Linked DNA regions of Xenopus tropicalis. The protein of the gene in region 3 interacts with the protein of the main gene of each other region in a biochemical or structural test. Links are inferred from orthologs where the notes say so. Each region holds a gene or a part of one and is shown on either strand. Other genes may lie near its edges.

Region 1 (4,266 bases), on a different chromosome or scaffold from region 3:
TATTTATGTATATTATGTATATATCATGTGTATTAATATATAAATATATATGACTGTATGTATATATATATATATATATATATATATATATATATATATATATACACACACATCACTATATGTATATATACTTAATATATATATATATATATATATATTCATCAATAGTCAGGATCTACAATCATTTCAAACACACGGAATATCCGAAGTGATACAGTGAAACAATGAGAATAGAAGATAAAATTGGACTTACAATAATTAAACATAGTGAGGAGAAGCCAATTAATGTATGCAAGGCTTGGTGCAGTGTGGCTGCTGGCAGAGTGAGTGACCAAACGTGGCAATGCAAAACACTGGATCATTAAGTGCAAGGATGCTAAACGTGAGCAAGCTTATTTATGCTCCCTGCTTGCAAAGCTCACAAACTGTTCTAATGGGGACGTGGGGGCTCACTCCATAGGCGCTAACTGCCTGCTCTCAGGACATGAAAACTAACAAAAAGAAAATGGAAACTGAACTAAATTTAGAACCCACACAGACACACAAAAAATATGAACTCACCCCATGCAATGCAATCATATGGCAATGATTTGTGTAGTGGGCCAATTTAAATGACTAGCATGTCTGGTATTGATAGGCTCTCACTATACAGGACAAGTATTCCCAGGCTGCTGCATTTTTAATAAAACCTCGGATTTTTAGATGGCGACGCTTTGCATTTAAATACAAGTGGAGTAACCTGTTCATTAGAGATAAAATATAGAACAATTATAAGCCTATGGATGAATGTATTTGCTTCCTGCTTTCCTCACCTAAATTACCTTGGAAATATTAACGTGACTTTTGGTTTTATATAAGTTTCAGCGTGGTTTGTAAATGCGGTGATGCCTATGTGCAGAGCATTGGGCACTGGCTTGATTGTTACACTGTATCTATTTGTACATAGTCACACACTCACACACACATTCATTCTCACAAAACATTACTTTTCTTTACTGTACACAACCACCCAAAATACCAATCACACAATCTAATACAAATACACAAGTACACAATATTTTTTATATATCACTATGTATCAGGATGTGTCAATGATGTAACAGTTTGTCTACTCCTACACACATAAACTTACACACACTGACAACCTGACACAGATACACAAAACCCACTGACAGGCAGGAACAAGTACAAGGCAGCTACGGACCCCGCATATACAGCCTCACCCCATTCATTCACACACTTTAAGCTTCTGTAACGAAAGGGAGGAAACTTTTAGTTCTCTCTGTAAAGTGTGTGAGATAATGGCCTATATATAAAATACAATACAACCTTCTTAAACAAGGTGGCTGCTAATTTAAATTATGTCTGGATTAAAGAGAGGGATGGCATAATGAAAATGGACTGTATATGAAGAATAAATGCATTTTGAATATGAAGAATATGAAGTGGAGCAGAGAGGGCATGTGTTTAGCAAGGCCACGAATTGCTGGAACTAGAGGAACTAGAGGATGCCTGGAGTGCCCAGAGCATGGATGGAAAGTACAGTAAATTGCATTGTTTTCATGTGGATTGGTGGGGGAGAGGTGCTTGGCTGAACTTGCTGTGTGTGTGTGTCTTTTAATGATGACAGAGAGAGGGAGAGAGAGAGAGAGAGGGAAGGGATGGAGCACATGAATAGAGAGGCTCAGCCAACAGCCCACAGCATGCTTCCACAGACAAAACCCACACAAAGCTAGACACGCGGGGAACGCAGCGATTATTAATATTAATAGCGCCACAATGCATCAGCAAGTCATACATATTGGGCCAGGCAGGCGCACTCACACACACACACACATAGACACACACACAGACACACACACCGGTGCCCAGAGCAAATATTCACCTTCCCTCCTCATGCCCACTTTGAGGCACTTCTTCAGGCGGCAGTACTGGCACTGGTTGCGGTGGTGCTGGTCTATGGGGCAGTTGCGGTTGGCGCGACATGTGTACGTTAAGTTCCTGCGGACGCTCCTCTTGAAGAAACTTTTGCAGCCCTCGCAGGTGAACTGGCCGTAGTGCTTGCCGCTCGACTTGTCCCCACACACGACGCACTCGATGTGCTGCTGCTGACTCTGCCCGGAGCCCTGCTGGCCCTTGTCCCCGGCTGCACCGGGGGTGGATGGGGGTCCCGGCTGGCTGGGGGTCTGAGGCGTGTGGGGGGCAGCGGAGGGCGCTTGCTGTTGCTCCCTGGCCCCCGGGTTGGGGCCTCCCGGATTTCCCCCGGCCACGTCCTCCTGCGGATCTCTCCAGCTGCTAACTACCATTGCCATATCTCGGGCCCAGAAAGTGCTGGAGAGGGAGCTTATGGCCGCGGTCTGGGGGGATTTGATCCTGGAGGAGAAGAAGAAGCTGGCTGTCTCTGCCGTGGTGCTGGCCGCTGCTGGGAGCCGTTTCCTTGGATTAGCGCTCAAGGGATTTCCCCCTGTCTCTTGCACAGTGAAATGGGCTCAGGAGCTAATGATGTATTGTGTGCCCGGCTGGGCGCTGGAAGTGCGGCTTCAACTGTTCCCCCCCTCCCCTGAGTGTCGATCTGGTCCTCCTCCCCTGGTCTCCGGGCTGCGGGCTGCAGGAGGAGGGTTCAGGCTGGGGAGGCGGCGGGATTCGCAGCCCCAATTTCGCCGGCAGACATAGGGCGGCCAGGGGCAGCGGGCTCTGCAGGACGGAGCAGTGTGCAGCCGGCCTGGGTGACGGGAGGGAGGGCGATGAAGAATAAATCTTTGGAGGGGGTGGGTGGGGGGACCTGATCAGGGTTTGTTAGTGTCCGGGGGCCAAATCCAGGGCAAAATGCAGTCAGCCATTCATAGAGCCAGTCCTGGGAATCTGCCTCATCCACAGCCTGGAGCAGATCAGGCGCTTCCCTCCCTCCGCGATCTGTCGCTTGGCAAATGCTCTCTTTATTGGGAGCGATGGAGAAATAACCCCGGTGCGACTCTCATTGCATCACAAGTCACAAACAGCGAGAGAAGGTTCCGACCCGTCCGCACCATGAGGAGACAGAGCCCGGCTTATCCCATCTGCCCGGAATAACAAGGCTCTGATAGGGGTCGGGCTGTGGCTGTACCGGCCGGCGGCTCCGCTTCTCCTTCTGCTCTTTGGCTTCTCAAGTCAGTTGGAAAAAAAAACACAAAAAGTCGCAGGAAAAGTCAGAGAGAGACACCGGTATCCTCCTGGAGCAGCGACACTGCGATTCTGAGAATAGAATAATAATAACAATGGGCTGGAGCGGTCGGTGCTGTGCGGAGCTCTCCTGCAGGAATGGAGTGAGGGAGGCAAAGGGGGGAAAAAGAAAAGGAAAAAAAAAGCCCAGACGACACCTAATAGAATATGCAATAAGAAGAGAAGTCGGGAGAAGGGAAGGCACAGAGTCACACACACAAATGAATGCGTTTAAACGGGAAGAGCAGCGGAGCAACGTTTCCGAAAGGGGGATCTGCGCGACTGTCTGTATATAGTGAACTTTGACACTACTATTGAAACTGACACGTTTCTATGGAGATCGCTGCCTTATATGGTGCTCATGTCAAGGAGCCAAGAGAGGGGCTGCTGGCAACTGATAATCAAAGGCGACTGACTGGTCAGAGCCCCGAGTTGGGGGGGAAGAAAAATGGGAGGCTAAGGTTAGCCAAGCCCCCTCTTCCTATTGGTGGGATCACTTGTGCCTCAGGCCCCCCCTTTTCCATTTGCCTTGTTACCTACGACTGGGGCTGGAAGGAGGGAGAATGATGGGGGGGGGGGGGGGGGGGGGGCTCTGACAAGCGCACTGTTCATTCACATCGCCTGCCTGCCCGCTGCTGCCATTTGCTCGCAGCCCTGATTAGCATGGGCCACAACAAAATGCACCACTTGGAGTGGCTGATGGGAAAATGGCAGAACTTACACGGCCTGGAGATGAAGATGTAAAAATGAGGAGACTGTGAATTATTTAGATTGATGTCAAAAGGAATCTCACTCTCTCCCCAGCAGCACTCTCACTCCCTGTCCGCACCCCCCTGCACTTTCCCACTGATCTCTAACAATGAGAATAATAATAAAAAAAATGTGTATCTGTATTTGAGCAAATATTTATATCTATCCCCCGCTATAGTGCGATATTTAGTGGAGAAGTTGCGCCACAGCGTTAGAGGAATTATTAATGAAACGCAGCTCCTGTCCCTTTTTGTTGTCTGGCAGGATCAATGCCTGTAAGAGTCCCAGCAGCACAGGCACCCTGTTAGAGACGCACAT
Region 2 (4,211 bases), on a different chromosome or scaffold from region 3:
GCAAAAGTATTCGGCCCCCTTGAACTTTTCCACATTTTGTCACACCCCACTTTGCAGTTATTTATTTGTAAAAAAAATGTTTGGAATCATGTATGATTTTCGTTCCACTTCTCACGTGTACACCACTTTGTATTGGTCTTTCACGTGGAATTCCAATCAAATTGATTCATGTTTGTGGCTGTAATGTGACAAAATGTGGGAAAGTTCAAGGGGGCCGAATACTTTTGCAAGCCACTGTATACACACACAGCAGCACGGATATTATACAGCTATGGGTTTATATACACACCGCAGCAGGAACATAATAATAAGTAGATTAAAAAAAGCTAGCTATGGTTACTCTATAGAAATAGTAGACAGAAAGAAAGTGTTACACAAGCCCATCCACCACGGATCTATAGAAAGTGAGAGATTTAAAGGCATACATACAGCAGCTAAAGACTGACACAGACAGACACAGATTTGCTCTAGTTCTGCATCACGTTATCTAAGGCCAACATGAAGGGATGAACCAGTATTGCATTTTACCATTTATTCTTTCCATTAAAATGATGGCTGAGACAGCCATTAGCAGAAAAATAAGGCTTACATTTGTATTTGGGCCGGGGTGAGTGAAAGTTATGTAAACGTCAGGTTAATAGATGTATGAGACAAATTAATTATTAGTTGGGCCAGCTCTTTTCACCTGATTATAAAATCACCCAGGCACAAGTATGCTTACAAACTCAAACGCCACGTGGCCTTATATCAAAAGTGAGTGACAAAGTGACACCAACGAGTCGATGGTTGCGACCACCATTTGAGGGGGGATAGTAGTCCTGGAGCCAATTGGTTTTGGATCTATGGGGTGGGGGAAATAATAAGTAAAGCTATTCACAACACAATATTTATAAAGTGTGCGTATACACCTTCTCATCTATGCTAGCATTTTCATTAGCAGAATAATTTGTCCTATTATAATTACTTCCGCAAATTTTACTGACTAGAGACCTATTATTTCTCTTAGGCCCCTTGAGTTCTACGGGTGAAGACACACTGAGCAACTAGTAGCAACTACTAGACTCCAGAATATACCGTGCTATAGACAATACTGAGAACTGAATCTGCTAAAACACACGTAGAGAGATTATCAGTAAATGATCAGCACTGTCTATTTTAGTAGCTACGTAAAGTAGCTGCTACTAGTAGCTCCGCGAGTCTTCCCCCTAAGGGCTCTGGCACACGGGGAGATTAGTCGCCCGCGACAAATCTCCTGTGTCCTGGGCGACTAATCTCCCCGGATTGCCATCCCACCAGCGAAAATGTAAATCGCCGGTGGGATGGCATACGCTGTGGCGCGATTTCAGTGAGATCGAGGCAACTTGTGCAATCTCACTGAAATTGCGCCACCGCGTGTGCCATCCCACCGGCGACTTACACTTTCGCCGGTGGGATGGCAATCTGGGGAGATTAGTCGCCCGAGACACGGGAGATTTGTCGCTGGCGACTAAACCCCCCCCGTGTGCCAGAGCCCTAATAGTCTCTCCAAGGGCACCAAACTGCATAATAGTCATACTTGAGGTGGCCATACAGGTTAAGATTCGCTCGCTTGGCGACCTTGCCAAGTGAGCGGATCTTCTCCCGTTATCCCCACCTACGGGTGTGCGATATCGAGTGAACTTAAGGTGGCCATACCCGCACCGATAATATCGTACGAAACCTCGTTTCGTACGATATTTGGTGCGGGTATGGTATGTCGGCGAGTTGACCGATATCGCAGGAAGCTGCTGATATCGGCCGACTCGCCGATCGGACCAGTTTGAAAATTTTGATCGGGCGCCATAGAAGGCGCCTGACCAAAATCTCCCTTCAGCGCTGAATCGGCAGAAGGAGGTAGAAATCCTTTTGTTTCTACCTCCTTACCTGCCGATTCAGCCCTGAATGGTGTGTGGCGGATCTGACGATGTTTCGTGCGACCGATGGTATGGCCAGCTTTAGGCTAATTTGGTCGCTTGGCCCTGGGGCCAAACAATCGAATTAGAAAGCAGGAATAGGAGCAGTTGGTTGCGGTCCCCGATCCGACTAAATTTTTTAACCTGCCTGATCGATATCTGGATGATTTCAGGCCCATGTCGGTCGGGCAGACCTGCCGTTTGTGCCCCTACATGGGCCGATAAGCTACCGATATTGGCAGCTACAATCGCCCTATATATGGCCACCTTTATTGTGGAACAAAGCTCCCAGTTATACCATAAGATATAGAATACAATATAGTAAATAATAAACAGTAACAATAGCAGTGAAGCCTCACAGAGTAATAGGCGTTTGGCTTCTGGGATCACTTACTGCCATGTGAAGTAGGAAAGCATCAGAAGGCAGTGCATAATTCAACACTATAAAAATATAAAGTACAACTATAAGGTTGTTTAGAAATGCCCACTCTGCAACATGTCCTACCCATGCCCAGCCCCCGGGCAACTGGCCTGACCTGCCTGCACAACACAAGAGCTTATCACAGGTACCCCACACGTATCACTGCCCATTACCAGCTCCCCGTCCCACCCATGTGGAACCGCCACAGGCACACAGAGGCGACAGGTAGCTGTACCAGAGCGAATTCTGAGGCAACTAATTGCGCATTAACACGTACGCCATAAGCCGCCGTTCCCACAAGTACATGACACAAATGCAGAACAATTAGCGAACTCCTTACCTGCCCCCCAAGCCCAGCTGCCTTCCTGCCCACCTCCGTACTAAGTCCAACCCTCGGCTATCTCTTTCCTAAAGTTTCCGGGGCGACCGAACGGATATCGCCCTCCCTGAGGAAGCTTCACAGCGCAACACCGGACATGACGCCATTCAGCTAGCGACGCAATGCGAGAGAAAGTACCTAACCGAATACCAGCGATAAGGGGAAAAGCTTGAAAGGGAATAGTAGGAGGGGTCAGAGTAGTGGGCGTGCTTTTGACGAATCATACAGTGTAGAAATTATTTTTGGAATGTCGAGCATGCGCAGCAGCGGTACATTGGAGACGAATCGCCCATGCGCAGCAGGGGTATATTGATGGAGAATCGCGCATGTGCAGTTTCTGCCCATGGACTGCTGTATGCTGGGAAGTTATGGTGCTGGGCATTACTACTGTCTTCATGGTGTACGGAAACATATAATAAAAAAGTCTATTTATTGTGCTACCACAGAGGCATTGAACAGCTATAACTGAGTGATACCCTTAGGAGGTATATGGCTATTGCAGGGATAACCCCATATCACAGCAAGGGGAGTTGCCCCGGATTGTGCAAGCTAGCCAAAAGACTTTTTATGTATGTATGTATGTATAACTTTATTTGTAAAGCGCCACAAGGTTATGCAGCGCTGTACGTTTGTGCCCGGTAGTATACCTAATATCCAGCACTAACCCCCACACTGCTGGCTGGGATTTCCACTCAAGGTTTTCCCAAATCACTTAGTCCCCATTAACATCAGAATACCAAATTCCTACGAACACATGGGGCACTGGCAGCATATACGCACAAGGAAAGGTTTTTTTTATTGTCTCATGGTGAAGATGCTGCTGATTCTGGTAATAGAGATGTAACCCTATTTTGGCTAGTATTTGCCAATGTCCAGCTAGTGGGTATGAGCACGGAGAAATGCGCTTATGAGATGTTGCTGAACTGCAATTCTCCACCACTGCCAAAGGTGTATATATTATGGACACCAGAGGTTGTTTTGCATTAAACTAGAACTTAGTTTATTGATGGAATGCACAGCATATGCAGGGTTAATACAGTTTTAAGGTATAGTTGTACAAGATCAGATACTGTTGCAATATAAGCAGAGTAGTGTAGCACCATGGTGGAGATAGATAAGTGATAATAGACAGGAGTCCCAAGGGTGTCAACCTTAACTGGCCCGGTTCCCTACAGCCAACTCTGGTCCAGGGTTTAGAAACAGCCTGAATCCTATGTCTGGACTGCTGTCCCTACAATAAGGCAGTAGAGCCTTGGGTGTACTAAACCCACTAAATTCTCGTTTGTTGGAGCACACAGCTGCTCTTGCTAAGTCACACTCCTAGAGCTGCTATTACAGAGTCAAATAACTTCACCTCATTCAAGGGGTCCCTGATCCCCGGCTTAGAATTACTAGTAGGATTGGCTTCGGCTTGGGCACAGGCTTCTGGGCCTAGTTGGGTCCCAGGCTCAATGGAACACCACCTGCATAACAATTAGGG
Region 3 (4,266 bases):
ACACAGAGTACATCCCATGCCACAAAGCAGGGAGCCAGGAGGATCATTTTAAGACCCTCTCTGGCAACAGGATTTGTAAAGCTCAGTATTAATCTAGTTAGCCAATCCAGTTACACATAGTACATATTACGCTAATGATTCCAGTACACATATACAAAAAAGGTAAATAAATAAAGCCATGGTAGGGCTCTGAACAATTTTAAAAGTGTCAAAGGAGTATTTAATTTTGATGGCAAACCCTTTTTATATGAACACATTCCCAAACATATCATTGCTGCCACTGATCCCTCAGACAAAAAAATAAAATTAGAAACATCAAAAATATATCATTACAATCAATTTATTGACTAGAGTCATAATTGAAATGGGACACTTTACCCTTTAAACCCATCTGGGATACTGTGTGTCATTTTTAGAAGTACAGAAATAATATTCTATTGCTACTTTTTTCAAGCATACCTTTTTACACCAATCAGCTTAAGGTCTCTCAAAACACTTTATCAAAGTTTAGCAACAATCAATATTTGAATATTGTCCTTTGCTAAACAATTTTGGAAAATGCATATTTGGCCAACCAGGCACTAATTTCTTTCAGAACAGACCAGTTGTTTTGTGCAATGGTTACATAACAGCTGAGTTTTTTTGACCATCTGAATCGCCAATACTTAAAAATGCATAACATACAGCATCTGAAGAAACACTGCTGAGATCTATACTTCAACAAATGCTATAACTGGGGCCAAAGTTACTACATAGACACCTAAAATCAGGAAGGTACAACAATCATCCTTCCAATACAGCAGCCCCCCCCCCCCCCCCCCGCCAAATGCCTTCAGCTGCCCAAGTGTAGCTCAAAAGCAGTTTTAGGGTCACATGTTGAGAATCCCCCTTTATACAGTCTTCCGACATAGATGGTCTTACCCAGTGTGCAATAGGGAATTGGATAAACCTATTATGTAGACAAAATGATCCCCCCCAAAAAACAGTCTGTGGATTAAATACCTTGCACAGACATTGACAGTGTATATACCAAGCATTACATTATATCTTATATTGTGATGCACTGATCTGTAATGTTTTGAACAGTTTAAATTATGGTGACCATTAATTCAATAAATTAAATAAATTTATACTGTTAAAACAAAAAAGTATTACAAAGCTATTTATAGTTGCACCATGCACCAGCTATCCAAGAGTTCCTTATTTTTTTTATGATTATCACTGTTTTACCAGAGTCTATGAAAAATATTTATGACCTGGACAGCAGTATGTCCACCACTTACGGGAAAAGGCTCTAAATATCACCATACAGAAATGAACCCACACTCATTACATAGTTATATATATATATATATATATATATATATATATATATATATATATATATATATATATATATATATATATATAGTACACTTTCCCTAATAAATACAATGGTAGTAATCACTAAGGCGCATCTTCCAAATAGGCAGAAAGACAGGGACCCCCACCCCCAAACAAACAATAAGCACAGTACTACATCATCTGGAAACCTGCAAGCTGGGCATGCTTGAAGCATATACAGAAAGTATCTCAAAAGGCCTTTCTACTTATATTTATGCCCCCATCCCCACAGCAAGCTCAACTGGAAGACTGTAAGATGGCATGCCTGACGTATACGCAGAATGAATCTAACAAGTCCTTTACAATTATAGCTTATATCCCTCTCTGCAGGGCAACATCAACTGGAAGACTGTAAGATGGCATGCCTGACGTATACGCAGAATGAATCTAACAAGTCCTTTACAACTGTACCTATATCCCTCTCTGCAGGGCAACATCAACTGGAAGACTGTTGGGCATTACCTGATGCACATACAGAACATTCCTAACAAATCATTTGCACTTGAACCTATGGCCCCTTCCCCAGGCCAACATCAGCTGGGCATTCCTGATGCATATACAGAACGTATCTAACCAACGTATCTAAATTCTTTCCACTCAATTCTATGGCCACTCCGCAGGGCAGCACAAGCTGGGCATTGCTGATCACATACAGAACACACTACTTCAAAATCATCTGCCCTTGAATCTATGGCCCCTGCCCCAGGCCAACATCAGTTGGGAATTGCTGATGCACATACAGAACGTATCTAACAAGTTCTTTCGACTGAAATCTATGGGCACTCCGCAGGGCAGCACAAGCTGGGCACTGCCGATGCACATACACAACACAGCAAACAAGTCATCTGCCGTTGAATCTATGGCCCCTTCCCCCGGCCAACCTCAGCTGGGTATGCCTGATGCACATACAGAACGTATCTAACAAGTTCTTTCCACTTGTCTGTATGCCCCTCTGCAGGACAAATGCCCTTGCTGCCCTATTGCTCGCAGTTGTTGAGCCAACACTGTCAGTGCCGTCGCTCTAAGGCTGCGATTTCTAGTTACCCCAAGAGATGGGACGCAATTTTTGCCCTCCCGCCCCGGCCCAGCACTTGGGTGCTTTCTTACGTTTTCTGGACGGGTTTTCTTCTTTTCCTGCTGGCGTACATGATGTTGGCGTTCATCCCGTCCACTTCTACGCCGCGGAGACACGCCAAGGAATCCAACTTCCAAATTCTAAATATTTAATGGCTTTCCTCCCTTTCACCCTCCCCCCTTGTGCCTGCCCGGCACCGTATCCGTAAATAGTTACAAAGTTCCGGTAAGAAGGCAAAAACGGGAGTTTCCGTGAATTCTACTTTTCCTCAAGTCACTTGAAGCGTATGCAAGCACACGCATGCGCAGAGCAGGGCCTGACGTTGCTTGACTGAGGCACGCCCACGTAGGGATGCGCATGCGCGTTAACTGGAGCGCGCCTAAGTGTGCGCGTATTGACAGATCTATTAGGTGGGACGGCGTTAAACAGCGCCCGTCACTTTCTTGATAAAGTGTATGCTAGATACAATTCAGTAAAATAGACGTACAGCAAGTCAGTATTTTAAAGAATTAAAAAATTATTAAATTGTATTTAAAAAAATAAAATAGTGAATCTGGGGATTGCTGTTGTAAAAAAATGCGTTCTTGCCGGAAGAGGTGTTTCAGGAAGAAAGGCGCGGAGAATAGTAACATCGAGTGCGAGTGTTTTGTCCCGCCTGTCTGCATTTCTGAGTGAAAAAAATTACAGTCCTAAACTGTTCATAGCTGAGGGCATTGTGCTGCTTTATGTGCCGGATACATTGGAGGAACTGTGGCGCCCTGGCTGTACTGCCTTATGCAAACACTTCTACTGCTGAACAGTTAGGGGCCTGTTTGTTATGCTGTGTACAACGAAATGTATCAAAAAACAGCTTAAAAGCTGTGTAAAATAATGGCAAGATTATCAAGGTGTGTTTTGTTTTACACCGTCTGAACGCCAGATTTGATGCCATTCTTTGCATTAAAAAAATTATACTGTATATTTCCCCAAGAGTATACTGCATTGAATACAAAATAGGGTCAGGAAAAATGCATGTAACGCACTCTGGAAGGGGGGACAGCATATATGTACTACAGCATTGCATCGGGGACAGTATATATGTACTACAGCATTGCATCGGGGACAGTATATATGTACTACAGCATTGCATCGGGGACAGCATATATATGTACTACAGCATTGCATCGGGGACAGCATATATGTACTACAGCATTGCATCGGGGACAGCATATATATGTACTACAGCATTGCATCGGGGACAGTATATATATGTACTACAGCATTGCATCGGGGACAGCATATATGTACTATAGCATTGCATCGGGGACAGCATATATGTACTATAGCATTGCATCGGGGACAGCATATATGTACTATAGCATTGCATCGGGGACAGTATATATGTACTACAGCATTGCATCGGGGACAGTATATATGTACTACAGCATTGCATCGGGGACAGCATATATATGTACTACAGCATTGCATCGGGGACAGTATATATATGTACTACAGCATTGCATCGGGGACAGCATATATGTACTATAGCATTGCATCGGGGACAGCATATATGTACTACAGCATTGCATCGGGGACAGCATATGTGTACTACAGCATTGCATCGGGGACAGCATATATGTACTACAGCATTGCATCGGGGACAGCATATATGTACTACAGCATTGCATCGGGGACAGCATATATGTACTACAGCATTGCATCGGGGACAGCATATATGTACTATAGCATTGCATCGGGGACAGCATATATGTACTATAGCATACCTCCCAACATTTGAAAAATGAAAAGAGGGACAAAAAGATTTGGTG

What was found. The genes of interacting proteins can lie anywhere in the genome.
Region 1: the proteins of ahr (region 3) and nr2f1 form a complex in vitro, tested with the Homo sapiens proteins (2 studies listed by BioGRID). The link is inferred for Xenopus tropicalis from reciprocal best matches to the Homo sapiens genes AHR and NR2F1.
Region 2: the proteins of ahr (region 3) and arnt form a complex in vitro, tested with the Homo sapiens proteins (14 studies listed by BioGRID, with this or other methods). The link is inferred for Xenopus tropicalis from reciprocal best matches to the Homo sapiens genes AHR and ARNT.

Annotation. Positions count from the first base shown.
Region 1 is NC_030677.2:178,175,069-178,179,334, forward strand, and holds the start of nr2f1 (COUP transcription factor 1), read right to left. Parts: upstream 2,829-4,266; 5' UTR 2,313-2,828; coding exon 1,886-2,312; intron 1,624-1,885; exon of another isoform or gene 363-1,623; coding exon of another isoform or gene 254-362; intron 1-253. UniProt on the Homo sapiens protein: Coup (chicken ovalbumin upstream promoter) transcription factor binds to the ovalbumin promoter and, in conjunction with another protein (S300-II) stimulates initiation of transcription. Binds to both direct repeats and palindromes of the 5'-AGGTCA-3' motif.
Region 2 is NC_030684.2:126,632,730-126,636,940, forward strand, and holds the start of arnt (aryl hydrocarbon receptor nuclear translocator), read right to left. Parts: upstream 2,829-4,211; 5' UTR 2,693-2,828; intron 1-2,692. UniProt on the Homo sapiens protein: Required for activity of the AHR. Upon ligand binding, AHR translocates into the nucleus, where it heterodimerizes with ARNT and induces transcription by binding to xenobiotic response elements (XRE).
Region 3 is NC_030682.2:37,604,830-37,609,095, reverse strand, and holds the start of ahr (aryl hydrocarbon receptor), read right to left. Parts: upstream 2,811-4,266; 5' UTR 2,547-2,810; coding exon 2,491-2,546; intron 1-2,490. UniProt on the Homo sapiens protein: Ligand-activated transcription factor that enables cells to adapt to changing conditions by sensing compounds from the environment, diet, microbiome and cellular metabolism, and which plays important roles in development, immunity and cancer.